Linked DNA regions of Macaca mulatta. The protein of the gene in region 1 interacts with the protein of each later gene in a pairwise test. Links are inferred from orthologs where the notes say so. Each region holds a gene or a part of one and is shown in the gene's direction. Other genes may lie near its edges.

What was found. The genes of interacting proteins can lie anywhere in the genome.
Region 2: the proteins of CTNNA3 (region 1) and JUP interact in binary tests that used the Homo sapiens proteins (3 or more experiments, as listed by UniProt). The link is inferred for Macaca mulatta from reciprocal best matches to the Homo sapiens genes CTNNA3 and JUP.
Region 3: the proteins of CTNNA3 (region 1) and PKP3 interact in a two-hybrid assay, tested with the Homo sapiens proteins (2 studies listed by IntAct). The link is inferred for Macaca mulatta from reciprocal best matches to the Homo sapiens genes CTNNA3 and PKP3.

The regions. Positions count from the first base shown.
Region 1 is NC_133414.1:82,012,767-82,018,832, forward strand, and holds the start of CTNNA3 (catenin alpha-3), read left to right. Parts: upstream 1-2,257; 5' UTR 2,258-2,360; intron 2,361-6,066. UniProt on the Homo sapiens protein: May be involved in formation of stretch-resistant cell-cell adhesion complexes.
Region 2 is NC_133421.1:66,112,919-66,118,936, reverse strand, and holds the start of JUP (junction plakoglobin), read left to right. Parts: upstream 1-2,183; 5' UTR 2,184-2,286; exon of another isoform or gene 2,287-4,948; intron 4,949-5,388; exon of another isoform or gene 5,389-5,585; intron 5,586-6,018. UniProt on the Homo sapiens protein: Common junctional plaque protein. The membrane-associated plaques are architectural elements in an important strategic position to influence the arrangement and function of both the cytoskeleton and the cells within the tissue.
Region 3 is NC_133419.1:290,939-297,178, forward strand, and holds the start of PKP3 (plakophilin-3), read left to right. Parts: upstream 1-2,405; 5' UTR 2,406-2,527; coding exon of another isoform or gene 2,528-2,534; coding exon 2,535-2,759; intron 2,760-3,335; coding exon 3,336-3,426; exon of another isoform or gene 3,427-3,518; intron 3,519-4,856; coding exon 4,857-4,936; intron 4,937-5,062; coding exon 5,063-5,688; intron 5,689-5,781; coding exon 5,782-5,905; intron 5,906-6,240. UniProt on the Homo sapiens protein: A component of desmosome cell-cell junctions which are required for positive regulation of cellular adhesion. Required for the localization of DSG2, DSP and PKP2 to mature desmosome junctions.

The DNA.
Region 1 (6,066 bases):
CCAGCTAAACTTCACCAAGATTCCTTCTAGCTAATGATAGCCATGATACATAGTTTGGGTAAATGAGATATAAAAGAGGGTCTTGTCTCTCCTCTTCTTGGTTGAATGCATATGTAAGGTCTGAAGGTATAGCAACCATATTGGGACTATGAGATGAAAAGCTGTATATGCATATTAAAAATGGCAGAGCAGAAAGATGGAAAGAGGCCTGTTTCCTGTTCCATCTGAGAATTTCCTATTCCCAGATTTCTTTGTTCTTTCTTTCTTTTTTTAAAAAATGGTGACAAGTGACTATTTGAAAACATTTCTTGAAACCATAAGATATTTCACAAGAAAAAAGAGTTGTCAAATGAAGCTAACTTTACAGCTTGGAGAGAACCATTTAGAAATAAAATTGATCATTAATTTGCCTTTTTGATGGAATGTTTTAATTTATAATTTTAGATATCTCTCCTTCTTGGATTCACTTTTTTTTTTTTTTGAGATGGAGTTTCACTCTTGTTGCCCAGGCTGGAGTGCAGTCGCGTGATATCAGCTCACGGCAACCTCCGCCTCTGGTTCAAGAGATTCCTCTGCCTCAGCCTCCTGAGTAACTGGGATTACAGGTCCTTGCCCCCAGGCCCAGCTAATTTTCATATTTTTAGTAGAGATGGGGTCACCATGGGGCCAGGCTGGTCTCGAACTCCTGACCTCAGGTGATCCACCCGCCTCGGCCTCCCAAAGTGCTGGAATTTCAGGCATGAGCCACTGCGCCTGGCCAGGATTGCCATTTTAATATAGTGTCACGTATTTTTAAAAATTTTAGATGCAAACAAATAAGTTATAGACTATTTCATTCTCTTGGATACAGGAATGGTATTAATCTCCCAGGTTTTTAGAGACAAATCCCTATGAGTTTAAGTCACTAGAATTGGATTTTCTGTTATTTGCAGCTGAATGTAATCCTGACTGATACAGGAAAGGTGACCAGTTAGGAAACTAATGCAGCTGCTCGTAAGTGACTTAAATGGGGGCAGAAAGGGTGGGGATTGGGCAGAGAGGACGGATTGAAAATGTAAATATGGTGAGTGTGTGTGTTCAGCCAAGTCTCAAATAGGATGGGGCTGTGTGGGTGGAATCCACTTAGGTACCACAGAAAACTATCCCTAGCCTTGAGGTATCAGGTAAGTCCGTAAGAGCGCCTGGGAAGCATGGGGTGGGAGAGATATGGTGAAAGTGGGTTACAGGAAGCAGACAGGGGATGTGTAGGGTCCCAAAGACTAACCTCACAATTTTCTTATTTAAAACATAATACTGGGTCCATGTAGAAATTTTAGAAAACCCAGTTAAGGAAAAAATTATTTAAGAAAACAAAAATCTTCCCAAATCACAGCACCCAGGGATAATAATCCCTGCTAACATTTTGGTGTATTTCTTTCCAGCCTCCATTCATTCTCCATCTCTCTCTCTTTCTCTCCCATTTTTCCCACATGGATGGGTATATACATGAATTGCTTAACAAAAATGTTATCATAATGCTGTTTTTCGATCTGTCCTAGTTTTTGCATTGGGCAATGCATTGGGAAGGCCCTCCCACATCATTAACATCATTTTAATGCTTACATGCATAGTATTACATTATGTGGATGTGTCTAAGATGCTTTATAAGTAGAACTTTAAAATTGCTTTTATTATCTCCCATTTCATATCACTTTTGGATGTGGTCTGCAAACCGTTGGAAGTGATTCTGGGATGGAAGGGAAGGTGGCATAGCGTTGTTCTTAGTTTTAGTGAGCTGATAGTTTGCTCAGGCTGTGATAGCGCGAAAACTTGCATCAGTATTTATATTCATTTTACTTCTATTTTGCCAGCTTGCTCTTCTCATGGAGCACGAGGAGTTAGTTACCTTGCCTTTTAGGGCAGTGGAAGGATTTTCCTCTTGGTGTAAACAGTGCGTGTTTGCACTGACATTTATTTACTTTTCTACGGCGTATAAAACCACTCCGTTGGCGCGCCATTTAGCTGGCAGGCATTGAAAATACAGAGAGAAGAGTAAAAGTTTTCATTTGAAGGTGTTTATTAAAAATAATCGAAAAGACAGAAGCACCCGCTTCCGCAGCGAGCAGGGTTCGAACCTGCGCGGGGAGACCCCATTGGATTTCAAGTCCAACGCCTTAACCACTCGGCCATCGCTGCCACGAGGAGATCAGAGAGGCGGAGACACTTTAGTGTAACAACCACTGCGCTCACGCCAGGCCCGCGAGCGGGCGGGGCACGCACCCTCTGAGCTCAGCTCGCCGAGAAGCGGCGGGGCTGAGGGCTCCGGGTGCGGGAACTACAGGGTAGACGCGAAGAAATAATAGAAACCACCCTGAGTAGAGGTACGTTCAGAACTTAGAAACTCTTCCCTTCGCTGTGCTTCGAAAATCGCAACCTTGCCTGGCTTCTGGTCGTTGACCTGGTTTTCGCCCTCCCGCTTCATTAAGTCTACCAGAGGGCCGTGAAACAAAAAGATCTGTTCTCTTACGTGCTGCGGGCCCGCGCTCCCGAAAATTTGGCATTTCTGCGAGAGAAGCGTCTTCCGCGGCGTTTCCCGCCTTGGCGGGGCGTCGCCTTCAGAACACTTTCTTCTGCGCATTGAGGCAGGAAGTGTGAGGAGTCGGGGTACTTGCCCGTGGGCTAGTCCCCCGCGGGCTTCTGCCCAAGCAGTCGTCTCCCATTTTTTAATTCTTCAGTGATCCCTTCATTGCCGAGCTCAGCTGGGAGACGTCAGGCCGCAAGTGTGCTCTCCGCTCTCCCAGGAGATGGGTGGCCGGGGACGTGGTCTGAGAACCAAGTTCTGCGCATTAGTCTGCATTCAATACCTTCAAATGCCATTAATGCCTTCTTGTGTTCTGTGTGGCTTCTGCCCTAGATGCTTTACCAGCGTTATTTCGTTAAAGCCTTGAGAACCGAGGTCTGGTCCTGTTGCCCACCTCAGGCCTGAGGCCCGGGGTTGTGCCGCAGGTTGGCGCGGCTGATTCCAGAGCGCCTCCGAAGCCACTACCTGCGTCACGTGGCGCCACAGAAGCGCCAAGTTCTGTTGATGGACAATTTGAGAAAAATAACAGAAGGCCTTTCACTAGTTTAAGTTTCTAGGAGTATTCATGGAAACTCACTGCCCTTCTCATAATGGTACGTTTCATAATAAGGCAGGAAGGCAGCTCCACCTTTGGAAGCCTCTGTGTTGTGGTTCTGCTAGTTAAGGTGTGTAACTTTTCTTGAGACCTTCCATACCATTTCTCGAAACCAAAGTGTATTGTTAAATGTCTACACCCATTTAATTGTGGAAGAGGAGCAGAATATTTGAGAATTGTGAGGATAAATTTTGTCTGATTTGAGATTGTTCTTTCAGGAATTTTATTCTTTTATTTTGGCAGAGCTACAGGAGGGATCCCATTTTCTCTATGAATACTGCATGGGAACAAAATAATTCCCAATATGGCCAGGCATGGATTTTATCATAAACACAAAATTCACTTGCACTTTTTCCAATAGGTATTGTGCAAGAACATTTTTGTTTTTTAAATCTTGTCCTTAGATTGTACCTATGTAGCAGGACAAGCTGCAGACAAAATTCCTCAGACCCGGAGTTAAAGAAGGAAGGGCTTTATTCAGCTGGGAGCATTGGCAAGACTCACTTCTCAAAAACCAAGCTCCCTGAGTGAGCAATTCCTGTCCATCTTAACGGCTTACAACTCTAAGGGGGTCTGCGTGAGAGGGTCATGATGGATTGAGCAAGCAGGGGGTACATGACTGGGGGCTGCATGTGCCAGTAATTAGAACAGAATAGAACAGGACAGGAATTTTCACAGTGCTTTTCTATACAATGTCTGTAATCTATAGATAACATAACCGATCGGGGTTGATCTTTAACTACCAGGCCCAGGGTGTGGCGCTGGGCTGTCTGCCAGTGGATTTCATTTCTGCCTTTTAGTTTTTACTTCTTTCTTTGGAGGCAGAAATTGGGCATAAGACAATATGAGGGGTAACCTCCTCCCTTACCTATGCCCTGAGATAACCTAGAATTTAACTTTACCTAATTTTACTCATTGTATTTTGATCTTGAAGCCATTTTTATCTTTCCTTCTGTGCAGTTGAATGATGATAATGTTTACTGAAAGCTCCTTTTCTTCCATAACCTTTCCTTTCCCTTTAAAGAATCCCTTCAATTGCTTCAAAGCTTGACAGTAATGGAAATTGATTATGGTTAAAATTGCTCAATCAAAATTTTTACTTTCAGAGGGCTTTCTTTATTTTGGGAGGGGAAAGCAAGACTATGGGGAAAATAATCGATTATAAAGTTATTGTATATTTTGTGAGAACAATTGTGATTAAAATGTCTTTGCAACATTTCAAGTGAAATACCTATATTTAATATTTAACTTTTAGCTTGTTTGAGTTAATGTAGGCTTTTAAAACAGTGAAATAATTTTTTTCTTTGCTGATTTATTATAATGCTAGAATGAGCCAAGAGATCAAAATTGTTGATTCCTCTCACCACCCCCCCCTGCAAAAGTGTGAATTTCCAAATCCAAATGAGTTCTTTTGGCTCCAACCTTAAGTCTTTAGCATTGTCATTTAATGCAGTAAGCAGCAAGTTAGGAATACAGAAGTAAAATACATATGTTCCTAATTCATGACAATCATATCATAAAACATTGTTTTGCAACCATATACAAATTTCAGTTGGTAAAGGTCCACTGGTGATCCTGATGGTCTCCTCCCTGCCACTCCCTGTTTCTGTTTTTTTAATGTGGCAGTTTTTATTAAGCTAATTTGGGTGTGGAAGGCAAATATGTTGTGACTTTCTCAGAAAACCCTTCTTGGTGCCATATTCAGAGGCAGACAGAATACTGGGAGGAACAGGGGATGTGATTGGGAGCAGTATGGCATTTCTTTTTTCTTTTATAGCAAATCAGAAATTTATTTTAAATTATTTTGATGGTTTTGGGAGCATTTTGTAAAATCATAGAATTTTAATGCTGGAAGAACCATTAAAGCTGGTCCAATCTCTTCATCTACAGGAGGAAACTGTGGCCATGAATAGCTTGCCCAAGTTCACATAGCTAATTACAGTCATGTGCCTCATAATGACATTTGGGTCAATGGTGGACCACATATACAGCAGTAGTCCCATAAAACTTTAATACTGTGTTTTCACTGTATCTTTTTTATGTTTATACACACAAACACTATTGTGTTACGGTTGCCTACGGAATATGCTGTACAGGTTTGTAGTCTAGGAGCATAGGCTACACCAGTGGTCCCCAACCTTTTTGGCACCAAAGACCAGTTTTGTTGAAGACAGTTTTCCACAGACTGGGGGAGGGAGGATGGTTTTGGGATGATTTAAGTGCATTACATTTATTGTGTACTTTATTTCTATTATTATTACATTGTAATATATAATGAAATACACAACTCACCATAAAGTAGAATCAGTGGGAGCCCTGAGATTGTTTTCCTGCAACTAGACAGTCCCATCTGGGGGTGATGGGAGGCAGTGACAGATCATCAGGCATTAGATTCTCATAAGGAACACACAACCTACATCACAGTAGGTTGTGCACTTTACAGTAGGGTTCATGCTCCTATGAGAATCTAATGCTGATCTGATAGGAGGTAGAGCTCAGGTCGTAATGTGAGCAATGGGGAATGGTTGTAAATACAGATGAAGCTTTTCTCTCTCACCTGCTCACCTCCTAGGGTACCAGTTGGGGACCCTAGGGGCTATATTATGTAGACTAAGTGTGTGGTAGTCCATACCATCTAGGTTAGTGTAAGTACACTCTATAATGTTTGCACAATGAGGAAATCATCTAAGGATGGATTTTTCAGAACATATCCTTATCATTAAGCGACACGAGTGTATTGGCAGACAGAGGTATAACTTGTAATAGTAGCTTAGTGTTCTCTCTCATTTTGTTGCCCTCATGTATTATTTGTTAGTCTCTGGCACAATGGCATATAAATTGAGATGTATAGATGGCAGTAGACAAAGCCTCCAGTAGGGAAGAGTCATGAGTTGAATGTTGAAGGCATATG
Region 2 (6,018 bases), on another chromosome or scaffold:
GCTGCTTCTGCTTATCCTTCTATGATCTCTTTGAAGGTTGGGATCATTTTTATATTCTGTGTCACCAGATTTTATTTTCTGTGTTCACCAGTGCCTAACATAGAGTTGACACTGAATACTCAAGTGCTGAATGAAGGAATGTTTGTAGGGTCCTTGGCACACCATACAACCACGACCAGCATTCATGTCATCAACCACAGAAAGGAAGTGCCCTTGTCTTCTTAAGCTGCCTGTGAAAAGTTCTTTTTATGTTTTTGAGACAGAGTCTCACTCCGTCGTCCAGGCTGGAGTGCAATGGCATGATCTCAGCTCACTCCGCCTCCCAGGTTCAAGTGATTCTTCTGCCTCAGCCTCTTGAGTAGCTGGGATTACAGGTGCCCGCTGCCATGCCGGCTATTTTTTGTAGTTTTAGTAGAGACGGGGGTTTCACCATGTTGGCCAGTCCGGTCTCAAACTCCCAACCTCAGGTGATCTGCCTGCCTCAGCCTCTCAAAGTGTTGGGATTACAGGCGCCCACCACCATGCCTGGCTAATTTTTGTATTTTTAGTAGAGACGAGGTTTCACCATGTTGGCCAGACTGGTCTTGAACTCCTGACCTCAAGTGATCTGCCCACCTTGGCCTCCCAAAGTGCTGGGATTACAGGCATAAGCCACCACACCTGGCCGAGAAGTTCTTTCTGATCTCTACCCCAGGCTCTCCTATCGTGGAGGGATGTGCTACCCAGTTTCTTTTTTTCTTTTTCTTTTTGTTTGAGATGGAGTCTCACTCTGTCACGCTGAGGCCGGAGTGCAGTGACATGATCTCAGCTCACTGCAACCTCCGCCTCCCGGGCTCAAGCAATTCTCCTGCCTCAGTCTCCCAAGCAGCTGGGATTATAGTTGCCCGCCACCACGCCCAGCTAATTTTTTGTATTTTTAGTAGATATGGAGTTTCACCATATTGGCCAGGCTGGTGTTGATCTCCCGACCTCAGGTTATCCACCCACCTTGGCCTGCCCCGTTTCTTTCATGCCTGGGTTTCTTTCAGATCTGCTGCTTGATGTTTCCAAACCCATCAAAGCCTCCTGACACCAATACTGTATTTTTGTGCCAATTAATTGTTCTGTCTCTCCTCCCAGTGTTTGTGCCTTTTCTCTGCCCCTTCCCCCATTGCCTTGACATTTTATGTCTATGCATTTTATGTTCCATGAAGGGAACAGCTGGTTCGATGGTCCTTCAAATGAGAAGGAGGTTCTAGCTTGGGGTGTGCCACTTTGTAGTTTTGTGACTTATCTGAACCTCGGTTTCTTCATCTTTACAATGAGGGTCGTTTTCTCATCTTAACTATTTTTTCAGAGCTGTCACAATAATTAAAACAAAAATACCATTAATTTAAATTCTAACCTTTAGCAGTTTCCGAGTGCTTTCACAAACCTGACTTCATTTAATCCCCACATACTCCAGTGAGGTAGATACGGCTAATGTATCCAGTTTACAGATGAGGAGAAACAGGGTGAAGTAACTTGTCTAAGATCATACTAAGTGGGAGAACACAAACCCTGGCCTTCTAATTCTAAATCCCAGGAGTACTCCATCTTTGGGGGGAAAAAATCCCAACCCAGCACAAAGCCTATGAAATGCTATACAAATATGTGATTACTACTTTGGGGCAAGGATGAATAAGCCCAAAGAAGCATCATGCTTGACGCTGAGTTGGCTGGCCGGTGAAGGCGTCTGTCCCTTCCCTTAGTATCCCCTGACTTACCTGTTGGACAGGTAGGGGGAAGGGGAGAGTAATGAGTCTCACCTGCTCAGAGCAAGGGTGGGGCAAGACACACCCCATCCCTTCCATTGGTTTTTTCCTTAGTCTTACTGACAGCCCCTTGTCCAATCAGGAGGAAGTAACTTTCTATCTGCCAATAGGTGCAGTGTTAGGATGAGACCTCAAGTTAGAGTCCATCCCTAGAGCCGACTGGCAGTCCCTGGGGCCAATGGCAAGCGGATAAACAGAGGCGGCCGTGGAAGAGGACTGGAGGTGAGGCTCCGCCCCTCGACGGGACAGTCAGGCGAGACAGCCAGTGAGCTCGCACCAGAGGGTGGGCGTCACCCCCAGGGGCGGAGCTTCGAGGTGGCGAGGGGCGTGGCTTGGCTGTCAGGTCTCTTTGCCTTTTGTTCGGTTACTGAGTTGCTGCCTTGGCCAGAGTCCGGAGCAGCCGCCGCCCGACCACGCCGAGCTCAGTTAGCTGCCTGCGCCGGCTCCCACCCCGGCCCGACCCCGACCCGGCCCGGCCAGGCCCCATACTAAGGTGCGGGCGATTGGGAGCAGGTATCGCTGGGGAGAGAAGGGGTGGCGAGCGCCCGCGAGGCCGGTCCCTGCCGTCTCTGGGCAGGTGAGGGCGGGTGCCATGGAGCGCCACCCTGCACCGGCGGCAGGGGGCGCGCTGGGGTCCTGGGCGCGGCGACCTGGGGGTCGCGCGGTTTGGGCAGAGCGCGCCTGGGAGCTCCGCGAGCCAGAGATCTGAGCAGGGCGGGAGGGATCCGGACAGGTGCCTCCGGAGTCGTGCCTCCCCCGGGGCCCGCGCCCCTCGCCCGACGCCGCGTCCCTGACTCTCGCCCTGAGCTGGTGGGGGAGACTTTGCCCTGCTTTGACTGCGTCCCAGGGCTCACGCTGCAGTCAGGAATTTACCGTTTGGGAAACTTGCTGTCGCTGGTCTCTGGGGCCACTCTCACCCCACCCCACGCGTCATCCTCGCTTTCCCTCCCTCCCTACTCCCCCAGGCCTGGGTGGGGCCCTATTGTCTGCGCCCAGCTTGCCCAACTGTGGGGGCCGAGCACACATTTTCCTAGCGACGCTGGCCCCACCTGCCGAGCAGGTGAGCGCACGGAGTCCAGAGGCCCTGCCCTCCAACTCCCAGAGCCTCGTCCATACTACCTGCGGCGCCTCCCTCCACTCCGGTGGGAGCCGGGCTCTGGCTTCTTCAGCGGAGGTGGGATGGAGTGACAGTGGTGGGTGCAGGGCTCGACCCAGTGTCCAGCTGGTGTGTCTGGCATCCGTGGCTCGCCCTGGAGTCTGGGGGGTGGGGTCTGTGCACGGATGAAGAATTCAGGGTCACCTGGCCCAGTTTCCAGTAGCTGTGGTTGCTAGAGTGTTGGTAGGGGAACAGGACCCGTCTTCTTCTCTAACCTCTTATTGTTGGAAAAATCACCCAAAACAAACTTTGCAGGAGGAAGTATTCACAGCAGCTTGATCTGGGGGTTTTCCTGTCTCCTTGCCCAAAACTTCCTTTAGGCTTAGGGGGTCCTTCTTGGTGCAAAGCCCCTTCCCCTAGCCGGCCCCTGGCTGAACCTGGGCGGGTGCCTGCGCTCCGACCCTGTCTTCCCTGCCCCCACCTTCATCCTCTTCGCTGGGCCCCAGGGGCCTGAGGTGGGGGCCGGGGTGGGGGGTGGAAAGTGCTGAGAGGGGAAGCAGCTTCTTCCTTCTCTTCCTGCCTCCGGGGACCACCACACCCCCTCAGACGAGGCCTGCGTAAGCGGCTCTCTCTCTCAAGCTCTGCCCCCTCCCCAGGAATGGGGGTGGGGCAGGGCTGGGCCAAACTGAGGAAGGTGGGGGGAGTGGTTGTTCTTGTCTTTTTTTTTTTCTCTACCCCATCCCCCACATTACTTAGCTGGCTGGTAATTGAGGCAAAAGAGCATGAGGCTGTGGGACTTGCCTTCCATTTGATTTCTGAATTATGAAGGTGCATGCTTTCTGGAGGCCTGCACAGACCTTTCCCACCCCCTTTCCTGAAAGAATTTGACAGGGAAAGTGAGACCGGAGGAAGGCTTTTTGGGGGAAGGTTTCTTCAGTGCTAGACTCCCTCAGGCAGAGCTGCATCGGGCCCCTGCCTTCCCTGCTCCCAATTTCCTGAGACCCCCCCTACCCTCCCGAATTGGGAATCTTGACCAGGCTTTCTACCCCGGTTTAAAAAACAATCTGAAGTGTGGTCTTTTTGCAGGATTTGGAGCCCAGCCTCCTTGGGGAACAGAGAGAGAATACCACAGTTGGGTTCTCTCTCAGTCCTGGGGGTGGGAGAAAGATTGCGGGGAGCGGGGATGGAGAGTGCTTGGAGGGGGAGAGTCTACCACCTCTTTCTTTGTTGTAGATGGGGGAGTGAGGCTGGGGGCCCAGACTCAGCCCCTTTATCCTGGGTGGGGATCACGCTCAGCCCGGGGCTAGGGGGAAGTCAGTGTGGGAACTCAGATCCTTTTCTGCTGGAGGAGGGGGGCGGTGCACCTCTGGGGAGCAACAGGAGCACGGAGTTTGGGCAAAAATAACCTGCTTTCCCTCTTCTCCCTGCCAAGGTGGAGGAGGGGAGGGCATTGTAATTATGTTGGCTAAATGATTAGTTTAGCTAATCTGGTTTGTGGCTGTGATGAAAAGATAATACTGAGGAAGTACTACTAGGAGGTGCCTGGTGAAAACTGGCCACTGACTGGACTGGGGGACGCGGAGGAGGAGAAGGTAGGACCCAATTAGTCATTTCTTGCTAGATCAAGCCCCAGCTTGGGTGATTTGAGCCCTCCCACCCCCACTCCACCCCTCCCTTGCACCCTGGCTCCACTCCATTCCCTCTGGAACCTCTGGGCTGCCAGGGCTGAGGCTTTGAGAATGCAGTGTATAGGAACGAAAAAGGTCGGGCTAGGGCTGCCAACCTTCTTCCCTTCCTGGAGCCACCTTAGAATGAGATCGGTCAATTGACTAGTCTACAGAAGGACTGTTTATTTGGAGAGATGGGACAGTGGGGCAGTTCTGAGCACAGGGCTTTGGGCTTGAACTGAGCTGGGTTTGAGAACCAGCTCTGTCTCTCATTACATTGCCTGAGTCTCAGTGACTTCTTTGGCAAAATGGGAATACAACACCTATCTACCCGGTAAGTACTTGACAAATGGTAACTCAAGATCAAGGTCAGACTTTACAGAAACCAAGCACTTTCTTTTTCTTTTTGTTTTTTTTTGAGGTGGAGTCTCGCTCTGTCACCTAGGCTCACTGCAACCTCCGCCTCCTAGGTTCAAGCGATTCTCCTGCCTCAGCCTCCTGAGTAGCTGGGATTACAGGTGCGTGCCACCACGTCCGGCTAATTTTTGTATTTTTAGTAGAGATGGGGTTTCACCATGTTGCGCAGGCTGGTCTTGATCTACTGACCTTGTGATTCGCCTGCCTCGGCCTCCCAAAAGTGCTGGGATTATAGGCGTAAGCCACCTCACCTGGCCCAAACCAAGCACTTTCATTAACTATTCTTACTTAATCCTTATGGCTGAACAGGCTGGATGGCTCAAACCTGTAATCCCAGCATATTAGGAGGCCCACAAGGGCGGATTGCTTGATTGAGCCCAGGAATTCCAGACCAGTCTGGGCAACATGGTGAAACCCTGTCTCTACAAAAAATAGAAAAATTAGCCGGGCATGGTGGTGCATGCCTATGGTCCCAGCTACTGGAAGGGTTGAGGTGGGAGGATTACCTGAGCCCAGGGAGGTCAAGGCTGCAGTGAGCTGTGTCACTGTATTCCAGCCTGGGCAACAGAGTGAGTCCCTGACTCAAAAAAATAAAATAAAATAAAATAAAAGCGGGTATCATTTTCCCCATTCTACAGATGAGGAAATTGAAACTCAAGGAACTTAAGTAATTTCCCCAAGGTTGTACAGCGAGACCCAAGCAGCACCAAGACTGGCGTTTTGGTCCTCTCATTCCAAGCCCAGAACCCATCCTGCTGTATTGCCCCATACAGCTCTGGAAACGATTTTTTTTTTTGAGATGGAGTCTCGCTCTGCCACCCAGGCTGGAGTGCAGTGGCATGATCTCTGCTCACTGCAACCTCCACCTCCTGGGTTCAAGCGATCCTTCTCTTTCAGCCTCCCGAGTAGCTGGGATTACAGGTATGTACCACCACACCGGGCTAATTTTTGTATTTTTAGTGGAGATGGGGTTTCACCATGTTGGCCAGGATGGTCTCGAACTCCTGACCTCAGGAGATCCGCCCGCCTCAGCCTCCCAAAGCGC
Region 3 (6,240 bases), on another chromosome or scaffold:
GCGCCCTCTCCCACCTCCTCTTGGGAGGTGATTGACAGGCCACCTGCCACCTGGGATCCAAGAGCAGTGCTCACTCACCCTTCGAGGCCCTCACGTTCCGGGTTCTCAACCTGATTGTGCACCCAGAGCGACCTGAGGCTACATGCAGATTCCAGGCCCCACAGACAACCGCCTCCTCCAGGAAGCCCACCGCCTCCTCCAGGAAGCCCACCACCAAGCCCTCGTCCAGGGCTCCTGTGCCAGGAACTGGCTCCAGGGAGAGCGAGACACTCGGGGCTGGTCACAGGGCTCAGATAAGACTCCTCTGAGCCTGGGGCTGGAAGCTGCAGCGGTGGTCTAGCAGGCATCGCCATCCCTCTGGCCTGACTGCGGTGAGGGAAGGTGCACCCCAGATTCCTGGCTTTGCCAAAACTGTGCCTGGCAGGGACCATGCATCCTCCGGGAGGCGCCGCAGCTCTTGGGGGACACCCGCAGCCCTCTCTGCCAAGGGGAGGAGGGAAGGTCGGCAGAGGCCCTCCAGGCTGGCTTCCCCTGCCACGCGGCCCCGCCTGGCCTCTGCAGGGCCCCAGGTGGGCCTGGGGTGGACCTGGATGCAGGGCGGGGCCCAGTCCATGCCAGGCACATACCTCCAGGCCCGCTCTGTGCCGCACAAACTTGTCTCCCAGGATTTTTCCACACGAAACCCGTCTCCCAGGGAATCAGCCAGTCTGATGAGCTGGGCGTTCCCACCCCGCCCTCCGGGGCCCCCACAGTCCTGTCCCACCGCAGAGGCTGCCCCGCACGCGCCAGGCCAGGGATGGAGCCCGGGACACCTCAGCTGTCAGCAGTGGCCTCTGGAATGAGCTGGGAGGCTGGCGGGATCCGGACCATGGGCAGGGTAGGTCTCCCACCCCTGCCCCACCACCCCGACCCCACCTGGTGGCCCAGCCCAGGCCTCGCCTGTCCTTTCAGTGGGCCCTCCCCTCCCCCTTTAGCCCCCAACGCTGATTTCCGACTCCCACCTCTAGCTTCCTTCCCCTCAGCACTGACCTCACCCTTAATGCTGCCTCCTAACCCTGGATCCACCCTCACTGAGGGGAAGGGTATGCCCGAGAGGAGAGCCCAGAGCCCGGGTCCAGGGTCCAGAGAGAGGCAGAGGCTGTCAGATGAGCTCATAAGAGAAGCCCAGGGGTTGTCAAGATGTTCAGCTCCCACCCCCAGCCCTCCTAGGCTTATCCCCACCCCCCCCATCTACCAGGGGCCTGTCCCGGAGGCCAGAGGGCCTCAGAACCTGCCTGCTGGCTCCACTGGCTGTGGTGCTCGAAGGAGACCTTCTGGGCACAAGCCCTGCTTGGTCTGGGCCTCCCCCGCCACCCCACCCCCACCCTCACTCCCTCTCCATCCCGGCCACTGCTCTCCCAGACCCCCTGGTTCTTCCCCGCACACCCCCACCCTCACTCCCTCTCCATCCCAGCCACTGCTCTCCCAGACCCCTGGTTCTTCCCCGCACACCCCACCCTCACTCCCTCTCCATCCCGGCCTCTGCTCTCCCAGACCCCCTGGTTCTTCAGCGCACACCGCTCCTGCCCCAACCTGGCATGCGCTGACAGGAGTGCAGGCCCCTCTGAGTCAACCCCCTGGGGCAGCCCCGCCCCCTGCACCCTGACTCATGTGCTGGGAACGGCCTCCCACCCGAGGGCCTGGGGGGCAGGAGCAGTGGTGCCAGGGTCCCAGAAGCCAGAGAGGGTCAAGTCAGCCCTTTGGAGGCCTCTGTGGGGGGTGAGGGGGTCCTGAGGGTGAGTTCCAGGGTCGGCAGGCCTCGGGGGAGGGCCGGTCCATCCACACGCTTCCTGTGGGGAGGGGGCTCTCTGGGTTCCAAGCACCAGGGCCTCCATGGAGTCCGGTTGGACCCTAAAGCTCCGTCCCTCCATCCTGTGTCCTGACCCCGGCACTGACCCCTGGCCCCCCACAGTGTCTCCTGCCAACCCCTTCCTAGGCCTCATCCCCGCCTCACCAGCAAGGCTGGGCTACCGTGGAGGCTGTCTGGTCCTTGGAGCTACCTAGGGCCCTAGACCCCCCAGGGGGTGGGACACCCTCCCCTTCATGTTGGGGGTGGCAGGACATAGGCCCCCTCAGGACCTCTGCCCTTCCCTGACACTCGGGACACAGAGGGCCCCTCTGTCCCAGCCCCACAACAGAGGGCTCGGTCCGGCCTTTACAGGCTGAGAACAAGAAGGACCCAGGGCCCCCGTGGCCCTGTCGTGGGATGGGAGAAAAGGAGGCAGGAGGCCAGGCTGGGACCTGGGGCCATGCAGGGCCTGTTCTTCCGCCCAAATTCCACCTTAAGCAGGCGGTGGCCCCTCCCTCCCACCTGGCCAGGTGTCCCCGCCCCCAGCTGCGCTCAGGGCTGGGCAGGCGTCTGTCTCCAGGCGGCCCTGGGTGAGGCTGGCGGGGCGGGGACTTCAGGGAGAGGGCCTGGAGGGACAGGACGTGAAGATAGTTGAGTTTGGAGGCGGCCGCCAGGCCTAGGCCCGGTGGACCTGCCGCCATGCAGGATGGTAACTTCCTGCTGTCGGCCCTGCAGCCCGAGGCCGGTGTGTGCTCCCTGGCGCTGCCCTCTGACCTGCAGCTGGACCGCCGGGGCGCCGAGGGGCCGGAGGCCGAGCGGCTGCGGGCGGCCCGCGTCCAGGAGCAGGTCCGCGCCCGCCTCTTGCAGCTGGGACAGCAGCCGCGGCACAACGGGGCCGCTGAGCCCAAGCCTGAGGCGGAGACTGCCAGAGGTAGGCCAAGGCACAAGGCAGGTGCCGGGCAGAGGGGACCGCGGCGGGGACGATGGTGGCGGAGAGAGGTGTCTGCGGGCGGAGGTGGTAGGGCGAGGGCAGAGGCCGCAGTGAGGCTGGCTCCTGACTCACCAGGCCTCACACTGAGTCACGCACCCCGCCCCAGCGGGCGTGGGGAGAAGCCATGGGTGGGGCTCCCCATCCAAGCAAGGACCCCCGGGTCCTCCAGGGACAGAGCCTGGCCAGGTCCCACCTGTGTCCTCAGCCTAGAGCCTCCCCCGTGGGGGATGACAGGGAAGGCTGGCACACGGCAGGCGGGCCAGGCCCCTCAATCGGCAAACCCGGAGCACGCACGCGACTGCCCCAGAAGCACAGGCTCACGCACGGTCTCAGGGACACCCAGACACCCACGCTTCTCCCACACCTCATGGGAATGAGCAGAACAGGAAAGCGGGGAGAGGTGTGGGGGGGCTGGGAAGTCCTGGAGGAAAGCCAGGCCTGTCTGGACCAGGGGCTCCCTGAGGAATTAGAGGGGAGGGCCCCACTGGAGTGACCCAGATTTCTCTGTGGGAACAGCAGGTGGAGGAGCACCCCTCAGTGCCAGCCAGACCCACCTGTGGCGGAATCCTGGCCCCACTCACGCGAGTGCGTGTGCATGCGTGTGAGTGTGAGTGACAGGAGCACGCAGATGCTGTGGTTGAGGGCAGTGGTTCTAGAACGTCATTTCCTCCTTCGCCAGCTACAGCAACAGGGATTAAGGTCAGACAGTAAGAGGAACCTCCCAGAATGCCAGGGACCCAGATGCCAGTTCATCGTGGTGTTTAGAGGGGACCCCCAGGACTGGTCTCCAGCTACTGGCCAGGGGGAAGTGAAGGTCACCCAGCGGAAGGGCCGGCCCGGCGGCCTGGACTGTGGGGTCCTCCCTTCAGGGGCCTCAGCCTTGCTGGTGACCAAGTTGGGTGCCCAGGGGTCATGGGGTGGAGGACGGTGAGGGAAGGGTTAATTACCACCCTGGCTACCCTGCCAATTAGAGGGGGGTGGATTATAATTGGGGGGTGGGGGTGAGGTCCCCAGGCTGGGGCGTGCCCCTACTCCGGGCTGGGCCTCACCAGCGTCAGAGAGTTAATAGCCCCGGCCCAGAAGCCCCATTAACCAGGGTGAGTCTGGGGCCCCTGCTGTGGGGGTGTACCCAACAGAGCATCCAGCTCTGGGCAGAGTTGTGGGAGGGCCATGGCCCCCTTCCCTGTACCCCACACTGAGCCCCTCAGCCAGTGGTCGCTCTGCTGGGCCTTCTCATGCCCCCGCCATCAGCCCGTCCTCTCTGCACCCACCCACGAGTCCATCCCTCTCCCCACTCACCATCCACCTGCGGGACCCACCATTGTCGCCGGCTCTCCCACCCCTCCGTCCACCACTCTGTCCATCCTTCCAACAGTCACAGCAGCCCTCCCATCCTCCTCCTGCCTGTCTCTCCATCCACCCTCCGCCCTCCGCCCTCTGTCCACCCGCCTGTCTGTCCACTCACTGTGGAGTCGGGCTGACGCAGCTGCCCTTGGCGTGTGTGTGGCTGGACGGGGTGGGTGTGGCCCCTGCCTCGGGCTCTGCCGGATGGGAGAGAGCACTGCAACAGGGCATACTGGTCCAGGGAGACAGTGTCACTCTCCTGTGACTGGGCACAGATGAGATTTGGGCACAGGAGGGGCTCAAAAGGAGTCAGTGTGAGTTGGGGCAGGCCAGGTTGGCTTCCTGGAGGAGGAGGCTGGGCGCTGTACCATGGCAGGGATTGGAGAACTGATGTCAGAGTCCCTGGCACATTCCTCCAGGCGACCAGGAGGTCAGTGGGTGAGCGCATCTGCCTTCTTGGGCAGAGGAGGCACAGCTGGGGGGTGGGCTGTGGAAGGTGGACCACCAGGGCTGACATGTGAGGAGACCAGGCCATGGCAGGAATGGGGAGGTCCTGGCCCCGAAGCCCCTGGCCTCCCTGCCCTGGATTGGAGGCTGCTCCTGGGGTTGCGAATAGCGATGGAGTGGGGAGGAGGCAGGAGGCCGGGGCTTTGCCGTGTGGCAGAGCTGGGCTACCACCGTCCCTCTCCACAGGCACATCCTGGGGGCAGTACCACACCCTGCAGTCTGGCTTCAGCTCTCGCTCTCAGGGCCTGAGTGGGGACAAGACCTCGGTGAGCAACGGGCCCAGCCCGAGGGGGACAATCTGAGCTCTGCAGTTCGGAGAGGGGGAGGCTCTGCGGCAGGGCTGGACGCAGGTGAGCCCAGGCACGTCCTCACTGCCCCCTCTCGACCCACAGGGCTTCCGGCCCATCGCCAAGCCAGCCTGCAGCCCAGCCTCCTGGTCCTCCCGCTCCGCCGTAGACCTGAGCTGCAGTCGGAGGCTGAGTTCTGCCCACAACGGGGGCAGCGCCTTTGGGGCCACTGGGTACGGGGGTGCTCAGCCCACCCCTCCCATGCCCGCCAGGCCTGTGTCCTTCCACGAGCGCAGTGGGGTTGGCAGCCGGGCCGACTATGACACACTGTCCCTGCGCTCGCTGCGGCTGGGGTCCGGGGGCCTGGACGACCGCTACAGCCTGGTGTCTGAGCAGCTGGAGCCTGCAGCCACCTCCACCTACAGGGGCTTTGCCTACGAGCGCCAGGCCAGCTCCAGCTCCAGCCGGGCAGGGGGGCTGGACTGGCCCGAGGCCGCCGAGGTTTCCCCGAGCCGGACCATCCGTGCCCCTGCCATGCGGACCCTGCAGCGATTCCAGAGCAGCCACCGGAGCCGCGGGGTAGGTGGGGCAGCGCCGGGGGCCATCCTGGAGCCTGTGGCCCGAGCGCCATCTGTGCGCAGCCTCAGCCTGGCTGACTCGGGCCACCTGCCGGACGTGCGTGGGTTCAACAGCTACTGTGGCCACCGAACCCTGCAGAGACTCAGCAGCGGGTGAGTGTCTGGGCCTGGCACAGGGAGGGGGCTTCTGCCACAGGCCCAGCCTGAACCCAAAGTTAGCCTGACTCTTGACCCCTGGCTCCGCAGTTTTGATGACATTGACCTGCCCTCAGCAGTCAAGTACCTCATGGCTTCAGACCCCAACCTGCAGGTGCTGGGAGCGGCCTACATCCAGCACAAGTGTTACAGTGATGCAGCGGCCAAGAAGCAGGTGACCACCCGACCACCCACTCACTGCCCCTGGTGACCTCCCTCAGGGCCCCACCACCTCCCACTGACCTCTGCTCACTGACCACCCCTCATGGTCCCCAAGCTGACCAGGCAGACCCCACTGTGTCCAGAGTCCCCTCAGCAGAGGAAGAGCAGTAGGGTACAGTTTGGATACACGTGCATCACCTGCATACATCTGCATACACTTGCGTTACCTCTGTACGCCCGCATACACCACCTCCATACACCCGCATACACCTGCATCACCTCCATACACCCGCATACACCTGCGTCACCTCCATACACCCGCATACACCTGCATCACCTCCATACACC